Linked DNA regions of Caenorhabditis elegans. The protein of the gene in region 3 interacts with the protein of the main gene of each other region in a pairwise test. Each region holds a gene or a part of one and is shown on either strand. Other genes may lie near its edges.

Evidence for each region. The genes of interacting proteins can lie anywhere in the genome.
Region 1: the proteins of F01G4.6 (region 3) and kin-2 interact in a two-hybrid assay, tested with the Caenorhabditis elegans proteins (one large-scale study listed by BioGRID).
Region 2: the proteins of F01G4.6 (region 3) and srlf-35 interact in a two-hybrid assay, tested with the Caenorhabditis elegans proteins (one large-scale study listed by BioGRID).

Annotation. Positions count from the first base shown.
Region 1 is NC_003284.9:5,971,835-5,979,415, reverse strand, and holds the start of kin-2 (cAMP-dependent protein kinase regulatory subunit), read left to right. Parts: upstream 1-1,561; coding exon 1,562-1,682; intron 1,683-1,741; coding exon 1,742-1,824; intron 1,825-2,604; exon of another isoform or gene 2,605-2,743; intron 2,744-5,132; exon of another isoform or gene 5,133-5,154; coding exon of another isoform or gene 5,155-5,232; intron 5,233-5,504; exon of another isoform or gene 5,505-5,620; intron 5,621-5,747; exon of another isoform or gene 5,748-5,882; intron 5,883-6,211; coding exon 6,212-6,418; intron 6,419-6,482; coding exon 6,483-6,596; intron 6,597-6,642; coding exon 6,643-6,756; intron 6,757-6,800; coding exon 6,801-6,915; intron 6,916-6,981; coding exon 6,982-7,185; intron 7,186-7,548; coding exon 7,549-7,581. UniProt on the Caenorhabditis elegans protein: Controls the rhythmic contraction of enteric muscles probably by regulating G-protein coupled receptor aex-2-mediated calcium influx in GABAergic DVB neurons.
Region 2 is NC_003283.11:502,356-505,152, reverse strand, and holds srlf-35 (SXP/RAL-2 family protein Ani s 5-like cation-binding domain-containing protein), read right to left. Parts: upstream 1,126-2,797; 5' UTR 1,115-1,125; coding exon 926-1,114; intron 857-925; coding exon 581-856; 3' UTR 521-580; downstream 1-520. Other genes in the region: T01G6.10 (DeHydrogenases, Short chain), read left to right, coding at 1,930-2,199, 2,358-2,546, 2,595-2,765.
Region 3 is NC_003282.8:11,147,115-11,150,793, reverse strand, and holds F01G4.6 (Phosphate carrier protein, mitochondrial), read left to right. Parts: upstream 1-1,592; 5' UTR 1,593-1,834; coding exon 1,835-2,069; intron 2,070-2,112; coding exon 2,113-2,234; intron 2,235-2,277; coding exon 2,278-3,006; intron 3,007-3,054; coding exon 3,055-3,132; downstream 3,133-3,679. Other genes in the region: pfd-1 (putative prefoldin subunit 1), read right to left, coding at 1-71, 124-269, 572-679; pigq-1 (PMT_2 domain-containing protein), read left to right, coding at 3,552-3,616, 3,665-3,679. UniProt on the Caenorhabditis elegans protein: Transport of phosphate groups from the cytosol to the mitochondrial matrix.

The sequences.
Region 1 (7,581 bases), on a different chromosome or scaffold from region 3:
AAATCCGACAGATTAGCCTATATGGATTAAAGATAAGCTGAGAGTCGGCTGGTATGCTAACTTGATTACCAGCATGCAATAGGATAAAAAATATTGTTCAGTTCTCCCTGTTCCTATTTCAATTTACGTCATATGCCAAAGACCAAAGGCCACGGGTGGTGTAGAGCAAGAGTCCGAGGGGAAATGCCCCGTTGTAATTGGGCGATAACATGAAGACACCCTCGATTTCATCGATAGGTCATTTTCACATTTTCACATTGTGATATTGATTTCTGAACGTTTAGTTTAGTTTATTATCATCACTTGTTTCTCTCGCATGCAAAAAGGTTTACAAACCCGCCTAGAAACCGCATAGGGAGGGGGAAGAGGCGAGAGAAAAGTTAGCATTCGTAGGTATTAAATGCATTTTCTAAAAAATAGGGTTTGAACAACAAATAATTGCTGTTTTTTGCTTGTACTTAAAATGGGCTCGAATTAGCATTCGAAATTCAAAAAAGACCAACAATTGATAGATTCACCAGTTTTGCTAAAGTTTCCAAGTTGCAGAGAATGAAAATTATATATATATTTTTTAATGGAATTATCATTTTTATTGATTGTTTGGTTCACATTATTTAGTTGATTCAAGTGTGTTAAAAGCCGATAAGTACTGAATTTCAATTATGTTTGGTAACCTATCAACTTTAAATGCACCCTTATTAACAAAAAAACGTGAGATAAATTATAAAAATATGCAATACAAATGATACTTTAATGCAGTTAATTTGCAACGCAGAAAAGTGTTTCCCAAATTTTAAACGCCCCCTCGAACGGAATAGCTTATTTATTTTTTGAGAAGTTCATTTGAGTACATTTCGAGTCTATACATGCAAACAATTCAAAACCGTATACATCAAAATTATTTCTATACATTTGTAGCTGCTTGTAACTCTATATGAATTAAACAAAAAAATCTCAAATCAAATTCGTCCGTTTCCGCGACATATTGTAACCGTTGATCTCCTATCAAAAGAGGAAATTCCCTTTATCTTTAAATTATAGTTTCCGGTCTCAGTACTTGCGCGACGACGTTTTTCATTCTGCTAATTATCACCATCAATCATCATATTTACTTTCCGACCATCTGTGTGATCAAAGTGATGAACTGAACTTGTCTTCAAATTTCAACAAATCAATTATCTGATTTTTCTCTTTTTCTCTTTTTCTTTTCTCTCTTTTCTCGTTCTCTCGCTCAACCAAGTTTGGGTATCAATTTTCTTTTCTTGCTCCTCCTCTCTGTTTTTTCCTTCTTCTCCACTTTTTCTTCCTTTTTTTGCTGCTCAATTCTGCTTTGATCTACTGGGAAGGCTGTGTGCCAAGATTTTCCAAAATGTTGTACACTGGCGGGTGTATCAGCATTCATTCGGTAACCGCTCATCTCGCTCTTTTCCGCGGCATCCCCCGTCAAAAGTCTGTTACCTTCCCCACCAAGTTTTCATCTCATTTCAAACGTGTGTTTTCTGCTATTTTTCTCGCATTTTTGTCTCTTTTGTTTGTTTAAAACAAGAAATGACTGAAAATTATGAACAATTATTCAGGTGACATTGTTTTTATGTCGGGTGGAAACGAAGAGGATCAGTTGGCACAATGCCAGGCCTATGTGCAACGACACAACATTCAGCAGCTTGTCAAAGAAGCAATTGGTGAGTTTTTGAAAATCTAGCAAAATAATAACACGAAAGTAAGAATACGATTTTTCCAGTTGTTCTGTGCATACACAAACCCGACAACCCGGTTCTCTTCTTGAAGGATCATTTTGAAAAACTCAACGAACAACGAGCACAGGTTAGTTGAGTTGCAGAGAATTTAGAAATTGAAAAAAAAAATATTTTCAACATAAAAGTGAGAAGAATGACAGAACCAGTTCGAAATTATGACCAGAAAAAGTATTCAAATTTGCTGACACTGAAAGAGTATTGACGTGGTACGCCAAAAAAGTTAATTGTTGCGTTTTGAAACGGTTCTTCTTATCGGAAAACGTAGTGTTGCATAAGCGTATTATAACGTTTTGAGTACAATTTGTGATGGGGGTTTTACAATTCTTCAGGATTTTTATTTAATTGTTCGTGTTTTCTGAACCATGAAACTCGGTTTCAGACTTTCAAATTTGAAATTCACATAGCTTTATAATTATATCATTGTTCTAGATCAGTGAAATTTGTTATTTTATTCTCATTCATAGTACCAAGTTTTTGAGGCATCGAAAATCTCGTTTGACTCGCTTCAAATATTTGAATATTTTATCCGGTTTTGTGGGAGCCAAGCGTCATGATTTTTTGTTTCGATCTTGTTTTTAATGAGATGCACTGCAAAAAAAAGCTTGAGAAAAAACTGGAAAATGCAAATTAGGTCAAACATCTTCCTGTGTCTTTTTCGTCATTCCTCCGCGTTTATGGCTCGAATCAATGAAAATGAAGCTTCACTTCGTTTTTTTTTTCGTCTTGTGTTGCTTCTTTTTTTCATAGAAAGCAAGCCTTGTGTATGTCGTTTTTCCGTCGGGGTCCTCTGGAGAAAGAGAAGAAAAAGAAGAAGAGGAAGAAGAAAAAGAGGCACTAGTTAGCTGGGAAAACGAAAGGATGAAAGAGAGCGGATAAGGCGTAACGAAAACGAAGAGAATTGAGAGAATGGGCCCTTTGAGACGAGTCCCAATGAGCCCTCCAGAGCTGTCCATCGAGCATCGAGCGCCCGCAGCCATTGGCTCAGCTGCCGAGCTCTTTTCCCTTTTTTTCGGGTCCGGTTTGTGAAGCGGAGAGAAAGTGACGAAGAATGAAGAAGGCCTCGGGGCAGATTTCTCTTGCTCTTCGTTGCTCTTCGGACGATCGCATTTTTCTTCTCCTTCTGCCGCTCCTTAATGCTCCATGCTTTTTGTTCTCCGTTGTTTTTTCAACACCCTCGCATTTTGTGTCTGGAATTTTTGTTTCGAAAATAATTGAAGTAGGTAGTATTTTCACAAAAATAACAAAAGTCAAAAGACTAGTCATAAATCTTTAGGAGGTCAGGTGAAAGAAAGGGAAGAGGAAACAGTAACAGTGACGACGAACCAAACATCATTGTCACGTTCTTTGAAGATGTGAAATTCTAGATTTAACCTTTTTTTTTCTCTGACACCTAATTTTTAAAATTCCAAAACATTTTGCTTTTTTTTCTGTCACAAATTTTAAACGCTTCAAACAAAAAACAACATTAGTCATAATCCAGGAAATATAAGGTATTACAAACTTTTTATGACGTCATCGTTACTTGCAACATTCTGAAAAGGTTCTCGAAACGATTATATATATATATATATATATATGATGAAAAACAACACAAAAAGTTCGGAGCTCTAGAATTTCAATTTGGGAACATTCAAAAAAACACAATAAAACTAAAACACTCGAGTCCACTTTTCACACTCCAATTTTTATGTCTTTTTTTGTACACATGTGTTTCAGTTTTAGACACAGCTTATCAAAATCGAATTGGGGCGGTTTTTTGGAATGTGGTCATTAAAAAAGTGTGTTTAAATTTCTATTGAAAAATTTGAACGTTTGTATTTTTTTTTGAAATTGTAAATAGAAATATTAATTTTGAAATGGAAAACTAAGTTTTGAAATTTAACATACTAAATTTGCCAATGCCATTCACTAAAGGACCATAAAGTGTGCGTACCTTCCATTTCCTGCGTCTCTCAACATATTTCTTTTGCATACTGTTCGGACGTTTATCGATCTTTTATGTTCTCTCTTCTTTCCAACCGCTTCCCCAGAAAAATAGTTTATTTTAAACACTCGTTTATGAAAATTTTTTGGCAAATGCTGATACACAATTTTTTTTTCATTTTTAAAGTTTTACAACTTTTATTTTCGAAAAACTAGGAAGTGCATACTCCGATATTTTCTATCTTCTCTCCGCCTCGTTTTCGTTATATTTGTCTGTCAAATTCAATAATCGAATAAAATTTGCCCCGAAGGCAGCTTCTATCCGGCCGAGTGTTTTTATGACCGCCTCAGAGATAGAGAACGATGCCAAGTTAAATGGAGAGAATGAAAAGAGTCACGCTTTTCTGATGCTAAATGACTTTATTGATTTTTGAGAGAAAAACTATTCGAATAAATAGCTCGTTTTTTACGAGGTTTTATTGAATATGTTCGAAAACTAGTAAAATGGGTTTTTTTTTCAAACGAATTGAAATATTAGTCATACCATTCTCTTTGTTTTTCTCCACGTAAAAAATGCCTCGAACGTTATCATTGTGTCATTTTCTATAAAATCAGCTGATTTTTATTTTCTGTACCACAGAAACTTTTATGAATTCTAAGAATAACGTGGCAGATTTTTAAGATAGGGAATTTGTCATTTATTGGATATTTCTCAATGTGTGCATAATACTCTCTGTGAGCACAATACACTCATCGTAAATTAACTTCGATGCGACAAATCAGAAATTAAATAGTTACTCTTAGAAATACTGAAATTGAATTTTTTTTTGTTGTTTCATAAAACAACATGAGTAAGAATAGAGGAACAATTCGAGACTATTTATTTTCTGTCTAAATGTTGCGGCTGCTATAGTAAATTGCCGGTTGCTTGAGACAAAAATGCATGAAGTCGTTGTGCCCTCCACCTACTAAATACAACTGGCAAAGCTCTTTCAGATATTGACATTCTTACTTTTTCCTCTTCCGTCCTTTCCTCTCCCTCTTTCTGTTTCGTTCATTTTGCGCTACCACAGCAAGAAAAACATTCACACGCCTTCAATTAGGTCTCATGTGGAAACCCGGTCCGATTTTGATTTTCGTCTTGTTTTTAGCCTTCTCATTCTACCTCCAACTACAACATACTACTCAATGTTTTGTCATAGTTGTTGTAGTTGAAAGTTCGACGCACACACAATTGCCTTATTTGCCTCCTGACGTGTTCCTTCATTTACAATAGTCATAGTGTTTGTTTTTTCAAATATTTATTTGACTGCTCACCACAACTCTGGTTTCCATGGATATGTTTTATTCCAAAACATCTGCTTCTTAGAAAATTGCCGTTACATTCCTCTTTTTTCACCTACATAGACTTTTTCTTATTCTTTTAACCAAGTTATTAATCAATATTGTCAGAGTATCACCACCAAGGAATGTGATGGGGCAGCAATTGAGCAACCGACGAAACTCGCAATCTGTGGGCGCCACAAAAAACGCAAAGACTCCAAAGCCTAAGGTGATAGTTTTTTGAGAGGATAATCACTTTTTTCTTATGGATTTTTGGATTTCATGCGTAGTTCGAATTAATTCTCTGATTAGAATGGCTTCTATGTTTTCAAACATCACATTTAATAAAATTTCTTGAAAAAATCAAGTTAGAAATTTGAACTGTTCAAAACCTGATCTTTTTAGGCAATTTTAAACGGATTCTGCAAACTTCTAGAAATAAAAAAAAACAAAAATAAAGGGAGACCTCAAAAATAAGAAATTGTTTTGCACAACAGAAACAAAAGTAACCAGGTGTCTGCTAGTATGATCGAATCTCAGTCACGACGGATGAATGATGAGCGGCGTGGAATGAAATGAAAAAAGGGGAAGCGCTGGAACCTTGATGGAGCACTAGCAAAATTGTAGGACGAAGAGACTTGCGAGAGCTACGAGTACGCATTTGAAGCACATTAGACGGCGCGGCAGCTCGCTCGGCGATAGATTGGCTCAGTGTGCACCGCACTTCATATTTCCTTGCGTTTTTCTTCTTGCTTCTTTCCATTGAAAAATTCTTCCAATCCATTTTCAATTCAGTGGTTCACACCTTAAAAATGGAGTTGAACATGTACCGGGTGAGTGAGCGAGTGGGTGTATTTACTTTCTGCTGTGTTGTTTTTATTGCGCAAATAGACAGGCGGAGACGGTTGCCCTGTTGCTAAACAGAAACAAGTAAGTTTGCGGCGTAACATAATTTACATTACCTGGTGGCCCACTTAATACGATTCCCGATTTACAATTTCCAACCTCAAGGTTAACGTTTTGTCGAAACAAAAAAAAAATAGCAGAGGGTCAGTAATTGACTGAACTGGTTCTGGTCATTTTATATTTTGATTTTTCATTCATTTTTTCCGTCGCTGAACTAACTGAAACAGGAAAATTCCAAAATGGTTTGTTATTTTGCACATCTTTTATTTTCAAACTTTCCTTATCAAATCTTAACATTTCAGGAAGGAGGAAATCCGGACGCTGCTGATGATGACGACATCATTGTGGAGCCACCAAAGAGATCAGGTGGACGCAGAACCGGAATCTCTGCCGAACCAATCAAGGAGGACGATACCGAGTACAAGAAGGTTGTGATTCCAAAGGATGATGCTACAAGAAGGTCGCTTGAGTCAGCCATGAGGAAGAACTTGCTCTTTGCTCATTTGGAGGTGAATAAATTCCCAAAAAAATTTCTAATAACATTAAATTTTTATTCAATTTTTTGGTTTTTAGGAGGATGAGCAAAAAACCATGTACGATGCCATGTTCCCAGTTGAGAAGTCTGCTGGAGAGACCATCATCGAACAGGGAGAAGAAGGAGATAACTTCTATGTTATTGATAAGGGAGTGAGTTGCTTCTCTCTAAGAGCTTATCCGTACTTTCATATTTAAGACCGTTGATGTCTACGTCAATCACGAGTACGTTCTCACCATCAACGAGGGTGGATCATTTGGAGAACTTGCTTTGATCTATGGAACTCCACGTGCTGCAACCGTCATTGCCAAGGTGGCAAAATGCCACTCAAATTCATTTTATATATTTTCTTCCAGACCGACGTGAAATTGTGGGCCATCGACCGTCTCACCTACCGTCGTATCTTGATGGGATCAGTAACAAAGAAGAGAAAGATGTATGACGAGTTCCTCTCCAAGGTTCAAATCTTGGGTAAGTAAATTGAAGAACCAGAGAAGAAAAATGAACTTAAGCCGAGACTCATCAATCATCTTTCAGCCGATCTCGACCAGTGGGAGCGCGCTAACGTGGCTGATGCTCTTGAGAGATGCGACTTCGAGCCAGGAACTCATGTCGTCGAGCAAGGACAACCCGGAGACGAATTCTTCATCATTCTCGAGGGAGAAGCCAATGTGTTGCAGAAGAGAAGCGACGACGCACCATTCGACGTTGTCGGACATCTTGGAATGTCGGACTATTTCGGTGAGCAATAATCAGAAAAAAAGAGAAAAATTGGAAAAAAAATGAACAAACATGGAAAGATCAAAAAACTAATTGTATTTGGCAATATGCGGGTGATTCAATAAATGCAAACATTTTTTTTATTGAAATATAACTCTAGACAAGATTTTTGTGACACTTCATATATCAATGTAGGCTTTTCATGAAATGCAGGCGCGGTTTCAGGGAATGACGTCGCTTTGCATTTTGGTGTTAAATCAAAACCCTGGTGTTTGCACCAGAGCCCGACACGTTTTGATTTTTGAACCGCACTAATCAGTAGGCGTGGGTCGCGACCCTTGTCGACGCCTGAATGAAAGCTTTATTTCAATGTCACAATTTCAGGAGAAATCGCTCTTCTTCTCGACCGCCCACGTG
Region 2 (2,797 bases), on a different chromosome or scaffold from region 3:
GTTACTTTATAAAATTCAAGAAGGTCTTACAAAATTCAGTTTCTAGTTTTGAAAATTTTCAGAAAAAAAATTAATTGATATTTTTTCACAGTTTTTTAACAAATTGTTAATGGAAAAATGGAAAAACTAAAGGAAAAAATCTACATAACTTCACAAATATTTGAGAAAATATTAAAAACATTTAGATGACTTTAGAATGATGTTTATTTTGGTGAAAAAGTTTTCAAAAAAGTTCAAACAATTTTCTGAATGTCGAAAATTTTTGGAATTTTCCCAAGATTTTCAAAAATGAATTGTAAAATTATAATACTTGAAGACTGAGTTTTTACCTTTTTTTTTGACTATAATTTAATTTTTTTTAATTTCTGAAAATTTTTACAATAATTTTTGGATATTTTAACAATTATAGGAACCTAGGAAGCGGTCCGATATTTCACTTTTTTTTGACACATTACATCTTTCATGAAATATCCTGAGGCTGTTTTTAAAATTTTTTCAACAAAAACAATACCGCTTTTAATTCCATTTATGTGTCCTCTAAAGTTAAAACCATTCATTAGAAAAAAAAAACTTCAAAAACTTAAAATGATTCATAACTGTCATCATGGTCATCATCGATTCCCATTCTTTTCATGGAAACTTCCCGAATGTGGAACAAAACTGAAACTTCTTGAGGGTACTGGTATCTAAGAGACTGGATAGCCTGTCGCTTCTGAGCTCCCGTTTGATTATCGTTGTTCAGAATGGATTCAAGCTGGTTTTGAACTGTTGATAACTGGGAAATTATTTGAGAAGTCTGCTGGCTGACTTGTTGCTCTTGTTGGCTCCGTTGTTGTGTGTAGCTGGAGTATTCGTTCTGGAAAATTATTGTGATTTCAGATTTTTATTTTCAAATTTAAAAAATTCAAAATTTCAGAGAACTCACCGAAAGATTATTCATCTGAGCCCATTGCTGAAGCTGCTGGTTCTTCTGCATCTGACTTAGCTGATAGTTCTTAGCAATTGCAAAATAAGACTGTTGAATATTTCTCGGCTGATATCTCAAGAACATTGGTCCGTCGAAATCGGCAAAAACTACAGCGAACAGAGCAATAATTGAAAGGTAAGACTTCATTTTGGAGTGATTTGGTAAAGTGTCTCCTCAATTTATATACTAGGTGCCCATAGTATTGGCATAGTATCTGTTTGTGCCACTGGTGAACTTTTGTGTTTGCTCTTGTAGTCTTTTGAAAAGAGTTGTTAGGCAGTTAGGTAGTCTACGTTTATGAGTCACTGAAAAAAAATCATTTTTTGAAGAAAGATCAAAAGTAGGGGAACTTTTTAAAAAACATCTAGAAGTTTTCAGAAATTTATCCGAAATTGTTCAAAGTTATCTAGATGTCGAGATTCGAAAAAAAAAGTTTAAAAAACAATTTTTTATATTTTATTCTTAGAAAATGTGAATTTTGCACCAATACTTTTCTCAGAACATGAAGATTTGAATTCCCGCCAAAGAAATGGACTGAAAATTTTAATTTCCCTTTAAAAAAAACTGCAATGAAAATGCGAATTTCCCGTCTTTTTTTTAATTCCCAGGAATTTTTACCCCTGAAACTTTGAACATTCGCCCAAATTTTTTCACAATAAAATAAGTTTTCTAGTTTTCGCGGAAAATTTTAAAAACTTGCACTATTTTTATATTTTATATAAGTTTGATATATTTTTAAGTAATTATGAGTAACCTGAACCCTTTTGGTCATAGATTTTTTGACACACTGAGAGATAAGCACAAAAAGAGACACAGACGTCCAACGCATGTGCTTACACATTCAGCTTTATACCTTCTAGTCACAGACGCTGTCCCCCTCCGACACATTTTCCAAAACTATAAAAGATGTTGGAGAGCAGCTCAAAAATATCACTTTCATACTTATTCTTTACCTTTTCTCTATGAACCGCTTCTCTGGAAAGTCTGTCATCGTGACAGGATCTTCAAGTGGAATTGGTCGAGCCACTGCGGTGCTCTTTGCGAAATATGGAGCCCAGGTAACAATCACTGGTAGAGATGCTGGAAAACTCGAGGCTACCAAGAAAAAGATGCTGAAGGTCATGAAGAATCCGGAGAATGTGTGTGTTGTCGTGGCGAACTTGACGGATTCTGATGGGCAAGACGAGATTGTGCAATCGGCGCTCGATGCTTTTGGGAGGATTGATGTACTGGTAAGTGAAGGTATGCTTATCTGTTTAAATCATTAGAGATCCAATGTTGCGCGTCAAATATTATGTAGTCATTTTTGCTCGATTTTGTACATGTGCTTAAAAAATGTACTGCGCATCTCTGACCGCAGTTTTTTTAAACACTTTTTCTCACCTTCCAGGTGAACAACGCCGGTGCCAATGTGGTCGACGGTACCTTTAACACTGATCAATCTACCGAGCTGTACCATAAAACATTTCAAATCAATTTTGAAGCCGTCATCGAGATGGTGAAAAAAACCAAAAATCACCTGATCGAATCGAAAGGTGAAATTGTGAATGTCTCCAGTGTAGCTGCAGGACCACAGGCGGTTTGTTGCTCCATAAATTTCTACCAAACTAAAACCGGATATTTTCAGCTTGCTCCATCCCCCTATTACGCAGCCTCCAAAGCCGCCCTAGACCAATACACACGTTGCGTGGCACTTGATCTCATCTTGCAAGGGGTTCGTGTTAATTCAGTGAGCCCGGGTGTCGTCACGTCCGGGTTTCTGGGGGCAATGGGAATGTCGGAGCAGGTCCAGAAACAGGTAAACGAAATTGTTCCATGATTGCTGTAAAT
Region 3 (3,679 bases):
GATTCGTTTCAGCCTCCACCAATCCTTTCTCCAAATAGTCTTTCTGCTTCTCGATAGCTTCAATTTTCTCTCTGAAAATGGGATTGGTTGTGTAAACTGTTTTGAATGGAAGAATGAAATTACTTTGACTGTTTAGCTTCAGCTTCATGTCTGGAAATTTCAGCTGGTTTGTCGGTCAGCAGGAACATACGCCCAACAGATCGATAGTACTTGAGGTTTTCATCCAAATCCACCAAGTTCTTTTTTGTGCTCTCTGAGATCCTCATTTTCTGAAAAATTTAGTTATTAGAAGCGTTACTTAAGAGAAAAAGTTATACTTTTATGTTTTTAAATATTAAAAATGCTGAGTGTTTTTTAATGGATGTGTGTAATGAAAAAATACCGATGTACAGCAAAAACTTTTTTGGCAAAGCTAGATTGTAGTTGTGACTAGCTGTGACTATTTGTGACTTAGGCACAAGCTAAGAGGTGAAACTCGCTAGTTTCTATGTTATCAAGTTATGATGTCATACATTTCTCATAATATTTAAAGTATATCAAATTTCAATATTTAATATTCAAAAATACTCACCTGATAGTTAACTTTCTTATTTTGTTCTCCTTGAACTATCCGCATTCGTGTTTCATTGGTTTTGAATTGCAAGTCGCGAAACGCTTTTGAGATCTCCTCGTCGGCCATTTCTGAAGTTGTAATATGAAAGTTGATTTAATAATTGAGACAAAAAAGAGTTGCGTTAAAAGAAATCACGAGAAAAGCAAAGAAAACAAATTGATTATCTTTGAAAAGTTGATTTGGAATAAACTTTTGAGAGATGGATTATTTATCCACAAATTTTAATTATTTTATGATTTATATATGTTAAAAAATGAGATACACCTTTTAAATGATAAAATAATAATGCTAGAAAACAGAATTTTAGATGTTGTAGTCATATTTTAAAATAAAAATGGAAAAATCGAGTAGAAATGTTTGCTGGCGCATTGCCAGAATCGAGTTAGATGTGCAGGTCATATAGCAAAGTGACGGGAGACGACTACGGTAGGGGCCGACCATGGCTCAGAGAACGTCCATGATATCTTTTGAGGCGGTTTGCAGGCCCGCCAGTGATAAATTATCAGTTATTCTACGAATTTCTTGAATTTTGAGTTTTATTGTAGATTTTTGAAGCATTATATTGCAAAATCATCTGTGATATTTTTGTTAGTGTCTCTTTTACATTTTTATACTTCCCGCATACTAATTTTTCGTGTGAATATAAATGTTTGGCAATAATTTCGGTAATTTCCAGGTAACCACCATGAGCGTGTTCAGCCAGCTTGCCGAATCATCGAAGCAGAACCCATTCAGCTTGCCGGTCAGGTCGGGTAACTGCGCCAGTGCTGTTTCAGCTCGTAAGTATTAATTGAATTTAAAAAAAAAACTTAATATATTAGCTAGCATAATATTGTCAGTAAAATAGTAAATTCACGTCCTACTTAGATTACTTTCTAGAATTTAGTTTTTTATTAGGAGGGGTAATGACAATCCGAATTTTTCTTTACCTGCATTCTCTGTTCCCACTTCCCGTGCAGCGCATGTGCACACGTAAATTGACGAGGGCTGCGAGAGGCACGGCGGAGATAGTATCTCGCGAAAAGAGAATCGAGACAGACTATTCCCTCGTTTTGCAAAACGTGGCAACCGCGTTTTAAAAAGACATAGAATCGAATATCTGTCTGCCGTTCGACGTCGTTCACACGTAAATTTCACGTGGATCATTTACTATCTTCCACGTTATTTCTATGCTACCACATGCCTAGGCGGGATTATAAGCATTGTTATAATCGCTTATCAATGACGTCCGAAACGGAAGAGAAGGCTATGCCATTCATAGCTCGAGCCAAATCTCCTCATCTCCAAACTGGAAGGGCTGGCATTATAGTGATATTATGCATGTGGATTATAATTTATTTTTGGGGTGTTACCCAACTAGTTGACGGGTTAATGGACTGGCTGGCGTACGGGTCCACTCAATATGTTGCACGGGTCGCGGTTGGTGTTGTCACCACTGTAGCTTCTTCATATGAAGGTTTATCGCTCGAACTATACAATTTAATGTTTTTTTGTTACAGCTGGACAAGTTGAATTCGGAAGTGGCAAGTACTACGCTTACTGTGCTCTCGGAGGAGTTCTTTCTTGTGGAATCACCCACACTGCCATCGTACCACTTGATCTTGTCAAGTGCAGAATTCAGGTATTACGAGAAAAATCTATTCAACTTAATTGTTTTCTTTTAGGTGAATCCAGAGAAGTACACCGGTATTGCTACTGGTTTCCGGACCACCATCGCCGAGGAAGGAGCTCGTGCTCTTGTAAAGGGATGGGCCCCAACCCTCCTTGGATACTCCGCACAAGGACTTGGAAAATTCGGATTCTACGAGATCTTCAAGAACGTCTACGCTGACATGCTCGGAGAAGAGAACGCATATCTCTACAGAACCTCTCTTTACCTCGCTGCTTCCGCCTCAGCTGAGTTCTTCGCTGATATCCTTCTCGCCCCAATGGAAGCCACCAAGGTCCGTATCCAAACCTCACCAGGAGCTCCACCAACTCTTCGTGGATGTGCACCAATGATCTACAAGGCCGAAGGACTCACCGGATTTTACAAGGGACTTCCACCACTCTGGATGAGACAGATTCCATACACCATGATGAAGTTCGCTTGCTTCGAGAAGACCGTTGAGGCCCTTTACCAATACGTTGTTCCAAAGCCAAGAGCAGAGTGCTCCAAGGCTGAACAACTTGTCGTCACGTTTGTTGCTGGATATATCGCCGGAGTTTTCTGCGCCATCGTATCTCACCCAGCCGACACTGTTGTTTCCAAGCTTAACCAAGACTCTCAAGCCACCGCCGGAGGAATCCTCAAGAAACTTGGTTTCGCCGGAGTCTGGAAGGGACTTGTGCCACGTATTATCATGATCGGAACCCTCACAGCTCTTCAATGGTTCATCTATGATTCTGTTAAAGTGAGTTTATATCGGTATTATTTTTCTTAATTAATAAAAAAAATTCAGGTCGCCCTCAACCTTCCACGCCCACCACCACCAGAGATGCCAGCTTCCCTCAAGGCCAAGCTTGCCGCTCAACAATAATTGCACTGACTAGATAATGATTTTGATTTCCTTCCTTAATCGATTGTTCTAGCCATTGTATTAATTTGAAATCCACCCAATTTGTCTCTTTTCTCTCGGTCCTACTCTCACTCTTAATTTTTTATAACTAATTAGTGCACCATGCTCGGTTTTAGTGTGATTATCATTTCCTTCATTTGTTTCAAGTTGTCCTTCAATCCCGATGTCTTCTTTTTTGAAAGATGAGTTCTCTGGCAGTGTTTTTATAAATCTCCTCCGAACAAAACCGATCGAAGAATATTGTATACGTTGGTGTTAATTTGTGTGTGTTCTCAAGAAAAGACCTCAATTGGGTAGTTCAATTAATACAGTCCACCCTCGCTCGTTTTACCGTTGAATTCCAATAAAAAAAATTGATAATAACGTGATTTTCAGAATTTATGGATAAAATTACTAAAAACGTGGTTTTAATCAGGACATTAGAAGCAAAAATTCTTCTCGTCCGGTTTGTTTCCTGAGATATTAATATTTTATACGGAAACTTAGTTTCTAGAACATTTTCCTTCAC